2 linked regions of the Sus scrofa genome follow. The protein of the gene in region 2 purifies or fractionates together with the protein of the main gene of each other region. This does not show direct contact. Links are inferred from orthologs where the notes say so. Each region holds a gene or a part of one and is shown on either strand. Other genes may lie near its edges.

Region 1 (7,774 bases), on a different chromosome or scaffold from region 2:
ACCGTTTCCCGCCTCTGACCCACTCCATGGTCCATGCTAAGAAGCCCGCAGCTACCTTGGCCCACCCTGTCGAAGCTGGGGGCTGGCAGGCCTGGCTACCTCCCATCACCGGATCAGCCTGCCCTGGGGTGTCCTCTGGCCCCCTCTTCAAAACCGATAACTGTTGATGGGGGTGAATTTATAAAAAGGTGGGGTCTGGAGAGAAGGGTGAGTGGTGAGTTCACAGGGCCACAACACGCCACGGCAGAGCGGGAATAGGGCTGTATGTACAGGGTGGGGCGCAGAGCAGATGGGGCGCCCAAGCCCCTGGGGGACATCTCCAATAAATAAATAAATAGCTACGATAATAAATAGGGTAAGGGGCTAAATCAGGGCAGGGGACTCACGCCCACGGCCAATAGGGGGCCCTGGCTCAGGCCCAGGGGGCGGGCAGGGGGCGGGGCCAGGCTGGGGCGGGGCAGCTCTCAGCAGGCGCAGTCCTGGTGCGGGGGTGCCTGCTGGTCCGTGAGCTGTGGGCCCTGCTTGGCGCCCGTGACTGCGGGGTCGGCCGTGTCCAGTGACTCCGACATCTTCTCGCAGATGACATCCACCAGGCGCTCAAAGGTCTGCTTGACGTTAATGTTGTCCTTGGCGCTTGCCTCAAAGAACTCGAACCCTGTGGTCGGAGAAGGGAGGGGTGAGGACCCTGATTCCCCCACCCCCGCAATCCTAGAGACACTCCTCCGAGAGCAGGTAACACTGGGAGATTCCTAGTGCCAACCGCACGTTAAAGGCTCTGACAGGAAGGACGCTGGACTAAGTCAGCCTTTATTTCCCGCATCTCTTCACGCTCAAACTGCCCTGGTAAGACCCACTTCCCTGCTCCTACTATCCAGCTCAACCCTGGCCCTAGTGGCTTTTGACATTCAGATCAAGGCCTTTCCATGCTCCCGCACCCACCATGGCTCCCTATTGTCCTCTGAAGAGTCTGGCTCCTCAACTCATGGTTCAGGTCCTGCATGATCAGCCATATTTCCTCCAAGTGACCCTCGTGTTCCAGTCACATAAAACTATTCTCCAAAAGGGTAGTTCCCACATCTGCCTTTGCCCACACTGTTTCTTCTGTCTGAAAGCCCACCCTTTGTCTTCAAGTACCAGCTCCAATGGCCCCACTTCCAGGAAGCCTTACCTATGCCAGTGTGAGCCTGGCTTCCCCCATGGTCTTGCCCAGCCCAGGTCCCTCCCTCAGTCTCACAAAGCTGGAGACTTCTCAAGGGCTCAGGAGCACCCAGTACAAGGCTGGGCAGTGAGGGTATCAGTAACTTCCTGCAGAGTAGACTCCTAAGCAGCCATCAAGATCCACCTCACATGGCCCCTAGAATCAAGGTCGGTTTGCAAAAAGTACGAAAAACTCAGATTTGAATACAGGCCCCATCCTGGTTTTGCTGTGAGACCTTGGGTGTGTCTCCTCCCCTTTCCAGGCCCTCAGTGTCCCTTTCCTGGCCTGTAGGTGTCCAGCCCCTCTAGGCACTCACCCAGGTGGTCAGCCAGCTGCCGGCCACGTTCTGATGACACCACCCGCTCATCCTCCATGTCACACTTGTTCCCCACCAGCAGCACCTGGGCATTGTCCCATGAGTATGTCTTGATCTGGGTTGACCTGGAGGAGGTGGTGACAGGCAGGTTAGGACTTGGAGAATCTAAGCTCTACCCGTCTCCATCTTCCCCTGCCTTATTCACCCAACTCCAGAGCCCCACAACTCATTTATTCCTTGAGAGAAGCAGGCTTGGTCCCTCTGTCCTGCCATGTATCTGCTCCTGCTCCTGCAGTTCAATGATCTTGGGAGTCCCTCTTTCTTTCTTTCTTTTTTTTTTTTTTTTTTTTTTTTTGTCTTTTTTAGGGCTGCACCATGGCACATGGCAGTTCCCAGGCTAGGGGTCAAATTGGAGCTGTAGCTGCTAGCCTACACCACAGCCACAGCAATGAGGGGTCCGAGCCAAATCTGCAACCTACACCACAGCTCACAGCATTGCCAGATCTTTAACCCACTGAGTGAGGCCAGGAATCAAACCTGTGACCTCAGGGATACTAGTCGAGTCTGTTAATGCTGAGCCACAACGGGAACTCTGGGAGATCCCTCTTTTTCAAGCAGCTTACCCTTCCCAGATCACCCCATATCAGCCCCAGAAGAATTTCTCCCTCTTGAGCAAATTCAAACATTACATTTTAAACGTTATCCTTACTCTGGGCAAAAATTTTAAATGTTTATATCCTCTAATCTATACAAACTGCCTTTATGTTTTCTGTCCCTCTCAGGCTTTTTTTTTCCTTGATGTTCACTATTTCATTTTTCCATCTGAAATCTTTTTTTTTTTATGGGCCACACTTGCAGCATATGGAGGTTCCCAGGCGAGGGGTCTAATCGGAGCTACAGCTACTGGCCTATGCCACAGTCACAGAGCAATGTGAGATCCAAGTCAAGTCTGTGACCTACACCACAGTTCAGGGCAACGCTAGATCCTTAACCCACTGAGCGAGGCCAGAGATCGAACCTCATGGTTCCTAGTCGGATTCGTTTCTGCTGTGCCACAACAGGAACTCCTGAAAACTTTTTTTTTTTGGCTATGCCCACAGCATATGTAAGTTTCCAAACCAGGGATCTAACCTGAGCCATTGGGGTGACAACACTAGATCCTTCAATAGCTAGGCCACCAGGGAACTCCTGAAATCTTCTTTTCCCATTATTTCAAGCTGGTGTCATATGGTTTTAATGATTATAGATTGATAGCAGGGCTGGGACCCCCAATATTGTTATTTATATTTCTGATAGGGGGCTGGGGCTCCCTAGTCTCAGGCTGCACCCCAGGCTTTGCATCAAGCCTGGCTTGAAAACCACCTGAGAGTGGGTGGGGCATGCTCACCAGTCCTGCACTGCATTGAAGGACTCTTCATTGGTGATGTCATACATGAGGATGAAGCCCATGGCGCCCCGGTAATAGGCTGTCGTGATGGTCCGGTACCGCTCTTGCCCCGCTGTGTCCTGGGGAAGAAGAGATGAGTGGCAGAGAGGACACACACAGAAGCTCCTAAGAGTGGAAATGAACTCTGAAATCATCCACCCCCTTGAGGCCCAGAGGAGTAGGGGCTTGCCTAGGAGCACAGTGGGTCAGGGAGAGTGAGTAGGCTGCCTGCACCGGGAATGTGGTACCCAGTCATCCCAAGGTAGCTACAGAATCGTTCCTTCATTCATTCAGCACATATGTGCTGGGCACTGACCTGTGCCAGGCACTAGGGACCTAGGTGTTAACAAAATGGACCAGGGAGTAGAGTTCCTGTCGTGGCTCAGTGGTTAACGAATCCAACTAGGAACCATGAGGTTGCAGGTTCGATCCCTGGCCTTGCTTAGTGGGTTAAGGATCTGGCATTGCCGTGAGCTGTGGTGTAGGTTGCAGACGCGGCTCGGATCCCGCGTTGCTGTGGCTCTGGTGTAGGCCGGCAGCTACAGCTCCGATTGGACCCCTAGCCTGGGAACCTCCATATGCCGCAGGAGCGGCCCTAGAAATGGCAAAAAGACAAAAAGACCAAAAAAAAAAGCACCAGAGAGTTCTCTTGTGGCACAAATGGTTAAGGATCTAGCGTTGTCACTGCAGTGGTTTGGGCTGCCACTGTGGCATGGGTTCAACCCCTGGCCTGGGAACTTCCACATGCCCCTGGGTGTGGGCAAAAAACAAAAACCAATAGCATCGGGATTGAGATGGCAGAGGAGTAAGACAAGGTACTCATCTTCTCCAATGAACACATCAAAAAAAACAAAACAAAAACAAAAACCCATCTACATGTAGAAAGATTCGTACAAGACATCTACTGAATGCTGACAGAAGATCTTAAACCTCCAAAAAGGGCAAGAAACCCACCACATAACTGGGTAGAACAAAAGAGGAAAAAGAGAGAGAGAGACAAAAACAAAACAAAAAACCAAAATAGACCAAAATCAGGAGTTCCTGTCATGGTGCAGCGAAAACAAATCCACCTAGTATCCAAGAGGATGTGGGTTTGATCCCTGGCCAAGCTCAGTGAGTTGGGGATGTGTTGCCATGAGCTGTGGTGTAGGTTGCAGATATGGCTTGGATCTGGCATTGCTGTGGCTGTGGTGTAGGCAGGCAGCTGCAGCTCTGATTAGACCCCTAGCCTGGGACCCTCCATATGCTGAGGGTGTGGCCCTAAAAAGACAAAAAAAAAAAAACAAAAAACAAAAAACTTGAAGGATGAGGGAGGGAGCCCTGCAGAGATAAGAAGAAAGGTAATCCAGGCAGAAGGCACAGCCCAGGGAAAGGCCCAGATGTGGACTATGTCTGGTATATTTGAGGAACAGTGAGACAGTGAAGAGGCTGAGGTAGAGATGGAGGGATACAAATGAGATTGGGTATCAACAAGGATAGACCACACAGGATCTTAGCCAGGGGGAGAAGGCACAGGTTTAACCCAGATGAGGTGGGAGCCTTGGCAGAACTGTGAACAGAGAAGGGATGGTTCTGACTTTGGATTTAGCAGGCTCCCTCATGTCTCAGAGGCACTGAGGGAGGTGGCTAGAGGAGCCTGTTCCTGTCTCGGAGAATGAGGTGGGGGGGGGGGTCAAGATTTCTCTGAAACCTCATACAGAGCCACATGGAGGAAGCTGAAGATGGGGAGAGAAGCTGAGGCACCAAGCAAATGATGTGTCCAATGATGTCAGAGGTAGGAGAGGACCTACCTGGCATTTGCTACTTCCCCACCCTTGGAGAGCACCGATGACACACTGAAAGAACCGAGATACCCTCTTCTGTGCCTCTATCCTGTGGTACACAGTAAGGGCCTGAAAAAATGCTCAGTGTGTAATGAATGAATCTAGACAGGAAAGCAATAGGGAAAGCTGGGCTGCTCTTTGGGACAGAGAGGGAGTGATGGAGACAGAATTCCCCCAGCTGGACCCACCCAGATCTGCAGCTTGATCCTCTTATCATTCCGGTAGATGGTCTTGACCTTGAAGTCGATTCCTACAGTGCTGACAAAGGCAGGCGTGAAGGAGTCGTCTGCATAGCGGAAGAGGAAGGATGTCTTGCCCACACTGCTGTTTCCAATGATGAGGATCTTAAACATGTAGTCAAAGTTCTGGTCCGAGGACTCCTTCTGCCCATAGCGCGAGTCTGTGGCAGATGCCATCTGGGGGTACGGGGCATAGGCGAGCGTGAGAGGGTCGCCCTCCAACTCCAAACGCCCAAGCCCAGACTCAGGATGGAAGAACTCCAGAGCTCCCAGAGTGAGACAGAGATTACCTTTATCCCGTCAGGAGCCCCAGTACTAATGGTGGGGCCCACAGCAGAGGGCGGGCCTTGACCTTGAAAGGCCCAAGGTTTCAGGGGAGGACTTTCAGACCGAAAGGGATGGAGACATCGCTGCAGGCCGGAGCCCCTGGTCCGACAGCAACCTAAGCCCTACAGCTGTGCCTAGGGGAGTGACTGCGGCCGGCCCCGCCCCCTATCAATCATTCACGTTCCTCAGAACTGAGCGGCGCTAGCGCACGTGCACACGCGTGTACGGTACCCGCGGGGACGCGTATCTGCAGTCCTCCCAGATTCCCAGGCTGGGAGAGCTCGGGCTGAAGCAGCTACCCCACGTGATAGGAGCAGGGCGTGCTCACGCTCACGTGCACACAGCAGGGCACACACCAGGGCACATTCGTGCATATCTGAGCATCGAACACACTCGGCGCACAGGACAGAGGCAGACACCTGTCTGCACACCGACATGCATATACCAATGAGCAAATCCACCCGTGCGCACTGTGTCCTCCACCTATGCAGCCGAGTACACGTCACCCACATGGGCACGCATCTCTGTACATGTATGCACTTTGCTGTGCACGCACACGCATAGTCCACGCGTCCCCCTCCACACGCGTGCAACATGCACAAACTTGAGTAGGGAAACCCGGGGGGGTCACAAGAGCATACCCTGGGACCCAAGCAAGGGTACACACAAATCGGCCGGTACAGGCGGGCGCGCACACGCGTGTGCACACCACGCGCACGCGCACGCATGGAGCCTCCCGCGCGCACAGCTTCCCGCAAGGCACCCGTCTCGTCTCCCCTCCCCCTCCGCCGCAGAACCGGGGTGGAGAGGTGGGGGTGGGGAGGAGGATCCAGCAGGTAAGGGGAACCTACCCCTCCCCAGGCTCGCGACCGCCGCATCCTTCCCCTCATTTAACACCTGCCAACCTCGTCTCTCACCCCAGCCAGCCCATCAGTCAAATGAAGGTTATGTAGGTACTCCGAGCGGGAGTGCACAGGGACACTCGGGAGCTCACCTTGCCCTGCAGTGATGTGGTGGTGACCCTAGCGGTGGCGACGGGGCCCCCAGTGCGTTGATGTGGGGCTGCGCGGCAGCGGAGGCGGCGGCAGCGGCTCAGGCCCCTGCAGTCCTTGGTGACGTCCTGCAAAGAGCAGGGCGGGGCCTCACATGCAGATACGGCCGTGACGCCATCCTGGGGCGGAGCCACGCATTGAGATAGGGTCCACTGTCACACGCAGAGCGGGGAGGGGCGAGGCTCCCCACGCAGATTGACGCGAGAATGGGGCGGGGCCCAGCGAGCGCATCCAGTAGCTAGCGAAAGCAGTGCCGGAGGGGAGGAATCGCCTGCTGGGGCCACCTCTCTCCAGTGTTAGGGAGGCGGGGTTTCACGGCGCCTTATGATTGGCTTAAGTGTTCAAGCGATTTGCTAAATAGCCAATAAAAGATTGTCACGGCCCTCCTCTCGTCCAGCGTTGGTTCCCGAGTGGTTGAAGGGCGGAGAGGTTGAGGCTTTGGCGGAGCCTTGGTCTTCTGGGGGCGTTCCCCTTCCCCACCCCCGCGCACCCCAGGTCCGGGATCAGGGGGTCCCCGCCCAGTCCTGAGTGCCGTGACCTCTCGTTAAACACCCCAGTTTCAGAAAAAAGGAACCGAGAAGATGCTCCATGTCTCCTATTTCAAAATAAGTGCAAAAGAAGAAAAAACAGAAATAGGGGTAAAGATAGACCCTGTCTAATTTCTGAGATGTTAGATCCCCAAAGGGAGCCGGGCTGGTGGATGCTCCACCCTGTTAATGAGATGGAGAAAGAAGCAATTGGGACCAAGAGAGCCACCCTTCCCCAATTCCCAGAAGGAAGGAAAGAGCTGATGGACGCTCCGGGAACCCCTCTCGTTCCTGTGCCCCATTTTCCAGAGAAAAATTCGAAGAAATGGCGGAAGCAGGGCGGAGAGACGGCCTGTCCCCCAAACTCGCAAAGCCTGCAGTAAAAGGCATGGGAAACAGGGAGGATACGAACAAGGTTTAAAAACCAACAATAACGATGCAGGGTCGGAGATGCTTTACCCCTCCCTGGTTCCTGAGTTAAGAGACGGAGACTCAAGAATCCTCCCTCCTCCTTCCTGGCAAAAGGAGACTCAGAGATGGAGTTTGGGGTCAAAGATGTTCCACCGTTTTTCCGCCAAATCTTGTGAAAAAGTCAGAATGAGGAGGGGGGCGGTGGAAGAAGGAGACCTTGGCCCCCACTGCCGATCGCTGCCTCGCCAACTCCGGTCCCCACACCCGGCAGGGAGCGCGTGGCCCCAGGAAAATTCTGATCTCCCTGATTCCTCCTCAGGAGACGAGGGGCGGGGCCTGCTCTGTTTATAAAAAGCTCTCCAGCTGCAGAGGCTCCTAGATACCAGAATAACCTCGCGCCTAGAAGCCGCCCCCAGCCCCCTGGAAGTGCTCCCTCCCGCCCTCCTTGTAATTGG
Region 2 (7,269 bases):
AAAATGTCTACACAATTTATTAGGCTCCAGATGTGAACTTCAGTGGACTCTTAAAAATTGTTGGAGTTTAGCCTTAGCTGGAAATTGGAGTATTTGTTTCAGTAGCAGATTTTCATCCTGGCTCAAAATAATTGCAATGAACACACAGCTCCATTCTAGTGCATCTTTTTCTTGTGATGTAAGGCATTTTTTACTGGCAGTTTACATGATGTTTTACAGTGATATTTTCAATACAATTTTATCAACTATAGGCCCCTGAGAGAATAACTTACATGCCAAATGCTTAAGAAACTCTAAATTTCCAATAATGTACTATAGTTTGGTAATAACTGCTTTCCCGTTTTTATTAGTACTTAAAGGGACATCTTTAATGTCAGTATTTTTGGAGGGCAGTAGCTATCAAAACACTAGATGTACATGTCCTTTGACTCAGCAATTTCACCACCAAAAATTTCTCCTACAGTTACATTCACAAATGAAAGCCAAGATATATTATTACCGCAGAGCTTTGATAGCAGAAAGAAAAAAAAAAGAGGTAAACAATTTTCATGCCATCCGTGGGGGGACTGTAAATCAATTCTAATACAGGCACATGAAGAATACTCTCCAGCAATTAAAATGAGATAAATCTATTAAATGATGGCCTAGAAAAAATGTCCATGGTAAATAACAAATTGTTAAATAAAAAAATCAAGGAGTTCCTATAGTGGCTCAGTGGTTAATGAATCCAACTAGGAACCATGAGGTTGCAGGTTCGGTCCCTGGCCTCGCTCAGTGGGTTAAGGATCTGACATTGCTGTGAGCTGTGGTGTAGGTTGCAGACGCAGCTCCAATCTGGCACTGCTGTGGCTGTGGCATAGGCCAGTGGCTACAGCTCCTTTTCGACCCCTAGCCTGGGAACCTCCATATGCCACAGGTGAGGCCCTAAAGAAGACAGAAAAAAAATCAAGATCTATATACACAATGAGGTTTACATGAGTCCATTTGTGTAAAAAAGAAAAAATATAAATTCATGTGGGTCTATCTGTGCTGTTTAATACAAAACTTCTATGAAGATATCCAAGTCATGGTTATTTCTAGGGAATTGAATCTGCTTTTCTTTTTATATACTTCTACATTATTTCAAAAAAAAATTTTTTTTGGCCATGCCTGCAACATGTGGAAGTTTTTGGGCCAGGGATCAAACCTGGCCACAGCAACTTGAGCCATGCAGTAACAATGCTGGTCCTTAACCCACTGAGCCACCAGAGAACTCCTGTTATTTTAATTTTGAGCCATGTGTGTCTTCTTAATGTTCTTAATAAGCAATATATGTAGACATGGTAAAAAGTTCAAACATTATAAAATGTTATAAAAGGGCATACACATAACTAAATGACCCTCCCACCTCAGTTTCTCTTTCTAGAGGCAGCCACTACTCCTAGTTCCTTGTCTATTTTCCAAAGGTATTCTATGACCATGTATTGTTTTTAGTATTGAAAATGCTAGTGTAAAAAAGTTTTATAGAAAAACCCTGCCAGGGAACAGTTTTGATAATTAAGGTGTCAAAACTCTGCCTTATTTTTTTACTTTTTGTCCTTTTAGGGCTGTACCCATGGCATATGGAAGTTCCTGGGCTAGGGATCCAATCAGAGCTGCAGCTGCCAGCCTATGCCACAGCCACAGCAACGCAGGATCCAAGGGTGTCTGTGATGTACACAACAGCTTGTGGCAATGCTGGGTCCTTAACCCACTGAGAGAGGCCAGGTGATTGAACCTGCATCCTCATGGATACTAGTCGGGCTCTGAACCCACTGAGCCACAACAGAAACTCCAAACTCTGTTTTAGCAATTTCATCTTAACCAGAATGACAGTAACCTACTAAATGTCCTTTATGTGCCAGGCACTGATTAGTACTTTGTATATGATCCTGCGGAAGAGGAATATTATTATCTCTATTCTTCATCTATTATTTTACAGATGAAGAAATAAGGTTCCCAAAAGTTAGGTGACTTACCTAGCTGGCAAATCCCAGAATCAGGATTCAAATCCAGGTCTGCACTCAGTTCCCAGGCACTATTATGCACATTGCTACACTCTCACCTGAGATGCCAATTCCAAAGTAAAATTGTTCCTGGCTTATGTGACCAAGATTATGGCCATTGGAATTCCATGAATTGCTTTACTTCCCACCTCTTTAGTGAAAAGGATAGCTTGGAAAAGGAGTGCAGATTAGGATAACCAAAAGGTTAGCTTGCAGAAGAGGCATAAGTTAGGATGTTATGGCATGCTCAAACTCTGGAAGATTAGGAGGCAAAGCCTGGCATGCATATGAAAGACTTCAAAGGAAAACCATGACTTTGTCCTTTGCCTGGCCTACGCGGAGATTACTCACACTTGCCATTCCAGTGCATCTGAAATGACTGTTAAACTCAGAACCCCCAGCAGAGTGTGCTAGAACTCCACACAAGGCTACATTTCAAGACTACCAACATGTCCCAGTAGAAATCAGTGCAGACAATTCTACCTCAGATTCAAACTCTGCAAGGAGTTGTTAAAGTAGACTACCTTGCCATGTAAAGGGAGGCAATGATCCAGTTTCTTATCAAGCATCCAGGAATCCATCTGGACCTCTGCCTCTCCAAGGAAAGTGTTTCTGCCAAAACGACCATGATGCCAAACCGAGAACTTCAAAGTCCTTTGGGACAGGACAGATTCTGGGATCTCATACTGTGAAAGGAAAGAAGCCCAACATGATTAGTTCATGGTAATTCCTCATGAAAAGACTACTCCAAAATCTGAGCAACCAGACCCAAAGTGAATATCAAATTACTTTAGTCCTTAAGCACTTTGAGGTTCCTCACTCAGAGCTTCCACTTACCCTATTTCACAAAAAACCTACCACATTCTGTGGAAGGGTCTAGAATATTCATTTTTTCCTTGAGTGGGCAAGAGAACACCAGAATATTCAAAAAGAACTGCCTGGGAGACTCCTGACCCCAACTGGCTTTTCAGGTTTTCAGAATGAATTTGTGGCCACGTGGAGCTCAACAGCACAGCAATCCAAGAAAGCTAGGTCCACTTTTGTCTCTTCTCTAGGAGGCTGGAACATGAAGAGATGCCTATAGGATATCCTCATACACAGACACAGCCATGGAAAACTACGTGGACCAGCTAGGTAACAGAGACATAGCTACAGCTCAGCACACAAGACAGAACAAGTTCTACTCTTGGGCTCTAGATACTTACTGTGAGGATCTCATCATAGAGCGGGTTAACGGTGTCCCGCTTGATGCTGGTTTTTCTTTTGCCTTGGCGGGATTTGTCAGGCAGAAGGTAAGTCTTCACATAGCTAAAAACCAAGGAAAACATCAAGTAATTTCCTGTCTTTTCAGAAGCTCACTCTTCACTTCCCTGCTCTCCATATACATACACCATGACAAAATGAAAATGTCACATCAGGCCCTCTCAGACATGTCATTATTGCATCTTCACAATTCTGGTCCCCTTCCCACATCTCCTTTAACCATCCTCAATCCCACCTCCCTGTCCTCCCAGGAAGTGACGGCCTCGGTTCCAGGGTGCCCAGAGAGATGCCGGGGTCTGAGCCATCATCTCCGAGCACCACATCGGGTCCAGAAGCACTCACGGGTTCGAATGCTTCTTGGCTTCGTCGGCATAGGCCAGCTGCTGGCACTCTTTCACATGAATAACCAGAGTCTGTGTTTGCTGCTCATACTTCAGTGAAAAGGTAACCTTGCCCGTCACAAAGATGTTCCCGAAATCACCAGCTTCGCTGTAGATGCTCATCATGCTGCCAATGGTACTCTGAGGAGAAAGCACCCACAAACATCTGGCGAAGGTATGCTCCCCCGCCACACTGCTCATATTTTCTCTCAGGAAAAAGCCCCCAGTCACAGAACAAAACAAAAGCCCCTTCAATAAATAAGCCAGTACCACCAACCATCTCGTACCCAGAATATAAAAGACAGTGCACACTCCCAACTGCTTAGGGTCATCTATCAGCTCACGGCTCCCCTAGACTCCAAGCTGCTCTTCTTGCCCTCTTCCTACACATTTTATTGTTAATTTTCAACTGCCCCAGAAGGTGTGCAAGGAAGAAAGGTAAGGTGCAGCTGAGTCCAATTTTGGTATATGTTATATATGCTACAATGTTAGCTAGAAGGAGTCAGTTACTAATTAAAACAAGGGGACTTCATTATCTGTGGGTTTCTTTTATCCACCTTATTCCTCTCAAGACGTATAAAGGAAAGTGCCTGTATCAGAACTGGCGGGGGGATCTCAGTAATAATCCACTCTGCAAGCCCACCATTCTCTTCCAGGAACATCCTGTTTCCCCTAAACATTAATCTTCATACTTTAGACAGAAACTAGTCCCTGATTATTTTTTAAAAAATTGTTTTCTTATTATGGCCACACCTGCAGCCTATGGCAGTTCCTGGGCCAGGGGTCAAATCAGAACTGTAGCTGAGGAGTTCCCGTCGTGGCGCAGTGGTTAATGAATCCAACTAGGAACCATGAGGTTGCAGGTTCGGTCCCTGCCCTTGCTCAGTGGGTTAAGGATCCGGCGTTCCCATGACCTGTGGTGTAGGTTGCAGACACGGCTCAGATCCCACGTTGCTGTGGCTCTGGCGTAGGCCAGTGGCTACAGCTCCAATTCGACCCCTAGCCTGGGAACCTCCATATGCCGTGGGAGCGGCCCAAAGAAATAGCAAAAAGACAAAAAAAAATAAAATAAAATAAAAATAGAACTGTAGCTGAGATCTACGCCATAGCCATAGCAACACTGGATCCTAGCCACCTCTGCAACTCCGGATCCTTAACCCACAGAGTGAGGCCAGGGATCAAACCCACATCCTCACAGAGATAACATCAGGTCCTTAACCTGCTGAGCCACAATGGGAACTCCTCCTAGGCTCTGATTCTTAAAATGTGCCTTTAACTTCATGATTCTGATTGGTACTGCTATTTCTTAATCATATCCTTATGCCAATTAACCCTTGCCAAGGCCCTTCTCATGGCAGTTACTGCCCTTAAATACAATATTTGGAGCATGCCCTGATGAAGAAATATGAACTTGCTCACTTCCTGGCCTGGGACCTTTTTAGGGGAGAAGTTATGGGTTACTGTTGACAAAGCTATGATGAACCTCCCTAGCCCTAACTACCTGATATAAGAATCTCCAGGGCAGAATCTGAGAAAGTCACCTCACTGCATACTAAGCAACTACTGTCCAAATTGAGGAAAAGAACAAACAAATGCATTGTATTTACTTGGAAAGAGTGACTAGAATTTCCCCAGATCCTGACTCTGCACTAGGGAGGTCCTTCCTTCCTTCCCAGTACCCCAACATGTCTATAGCCACAGAACTACTACAACTTACCATGGAGGAGCCACTTCGCATGCTGCTTCTGGCTAGCTTCTGACGATGCAACTTTACCAGGTGGTCAATGTCTTCTTCTTCCTCTTCCTCTTCCTGAAACAATGAATATAGATTCAGAGTTAATAAAAATAAGAAAAAGTTCAGGAATTCCCATTGTGATTCAGTGGAAATGAATCTGATGAGTATCCAGGAGGATGCAGATTTGATCCCTGGCCTCACTTAGTGGGTCAAGGACCTGGCATTGCCATGAGCTATGGTGTAGATCACAGATGCGGCTGGAATCCCGCATTGCTGTGGCTCTGGTGGTGGCGTAGGCCAGCGGCTATAGCTCCGATTCGAACCCTAGCCTGGGAACCTCCATATGCTGCAGGTGTGGCCCTAAAAAGACAAAAAAAGAAAAAGAAAAAGTTCAAAGACTAATCTCCTTCCTTGAGTAGGGGCCTTAATTGCTGCTAAGCCCTAAGGTGTCATGTGCCCATATACATACTTATTCTTATGTTTCCCCATTTCATGCTTCTAAACTATATTCCAACCATCCTTCTCAAATTTCAAAATAATATCTTTCTCATGAGGCTTCCCCAACCCAACCATCTCTACATTTTATTAAAAATAAGTATTTATTTGAGCCCCTAATTGTATATCAAGCAATGTGTAGAAAATGAAAGAGACAGTCTGTTTCTTTAAGTAATTCAACAACCAGATTTACTTTAGAAATTTCGGGAAATCAAGATTCATGTTACCTTTTCCTAAAGAATTAAACACATGAATTTAGAGCATCAGGTAGGAAAGTCAACTTTAGGTATATAAAATTTCTTTCTTTTTTTTTTTTCTTTGCTTTCTAGGGCTGTACCCACGACATATGGAGGTTCCCAGGCTAGGGGGTCGAATTGGAGCTGCAGTTGCTGGCTTGTGCCACAGCCACAGCAATGCAGGATCCAAGCTGCAGCTGAGGCCTACATCATAGCTCATGGCAACGCTGGATCCTTAGCCCACTGAGCAAGGCCAGGATCAAACCTGCAACCTCATAGTTACTAGTCAGATTTGTTTCCACTGAGCCAGGACAGGAACTCTGGTATATAAAATTTCATATAGCAAGCAAATGAAATACCAGGGTACTTACCATATCCACACTGAGGCCTGGGACAGATTTGCTTCTGTCTCCTAAGGAGCCACTTTCATGCCCCACATCTTCTGGGCGAAGATCGATCACAGATTTAGTGTATTCTGAGTGGAAAACCAAAAACCAAATCAAAGAAACCTACTCTTCTCCACACCAATAACCCAACAAGTACTCAAGAACTTCAATCTCAAGGCCATGAAGGGCAACCGGCTACCTGAAGGCCTGAGGATTTTTCTGGTGTTCTTCTTGAATATCATTTCACCCTCATCGATAGACACCACATTTTGACCCCCAGGTTGCGTTTCCTAGGAAGGGATAAGGGCAAGGAAATGGAAAATGACAGTTGAGTAGGTGGGAGGGTGGGAGTAAGGAAGAAGGCTCAGATTTTCACTAAACTATGACAAATCTTAAAGATTAATCTTAGGAATTTAATTTATTCCTAGGAAGTAATACAAAACCTATTATTCTCACGTTTCAACCAAAACCTTAGCAAATGCTCCCAAGGGAACTGGACCTAAAATTTGTTTACTTGAATTCTTGATTTAAATTCTTCTTGAGAAAAGAAGAAGAAAGAAACAGCAACAGAGAGACACAAGACACATATCAACCAACCAACTAAAACTTACCATTTCTACTTGAAATTTGGGGGCAGACATCTTCTTCCATTCTGGAAAAAGGCCAGATTTATCCAAAGAGTCTCTCCTGAGGCAGACATAGAAGCTATAATAAAATCACCTCCTCCCCTTCCCCTTCGATCTAGTGACC

Evidence for each region. Proteins that work in one complex are often made in the same cells at the same time.
Region 1: the proteins of SYTL4 (region 2) and RAB3A purify together in Homo sapiens (affinity purification with mass spectrometry; 3 studies listed by BioGRID and IntAct, counting the BioPlex papers as one, with this or other methods). This does not show direct contact. The link is inferred for Sus scrofa from reciprocal best matches to the Homo sapiens genes SYTL4 and RAB3A.

What each region holds. Positions count from the first base shown.
Region 1 is NC_010444.4:59,601,794-59,609,567, reverse strand, and holds RAB3A (ras-related protein Rab-3A), read right to left. Parts: upstream 5,180-7,774; coding exon 4,952-5,179; intron 3,021-4,951; coding exon 2,902-3,020; intron 1,640-2,901; coding exon 1,515-1,639; intron 656-1,514; coding exon 465-655; downstream 1-464. UniProt on the Homo sapiens protein: The small GTPases Rab are key regulators of intracellular membrane trafficking, from the formation of transport vesicles to their fusion with membranes.
Region 2 is NC_010461.5:82,376,878-82,384,146, forward strand, and holds part of SYTL4 (synaptotagmin-like protein 4), read right to left. Parts: intron 7,207-7,269; coding exon 7,131-7,206; intron 6,810-7,130; coding exon 6,719-6,809; intron 6,609-6,718; coding exon 6,505-6,608; intron 5,478-6,504; coding exon 5,385-5,477; intron 3,809-5,384; coding exon 3,630-3,808; intron 3,333-3,629; coding exon 3,230-3,332; intron 2,711-3,229; coding exon 2,549-2,710; intron 1-2,548. UniProt on the Homo sapiens protein: Modulates exocytosis of dense-core granules and secretion of hormones in the pancreas and the pituitary. Interacts with vesicles containing negatively charged phospholipids in a Ca(2+)-independent manner.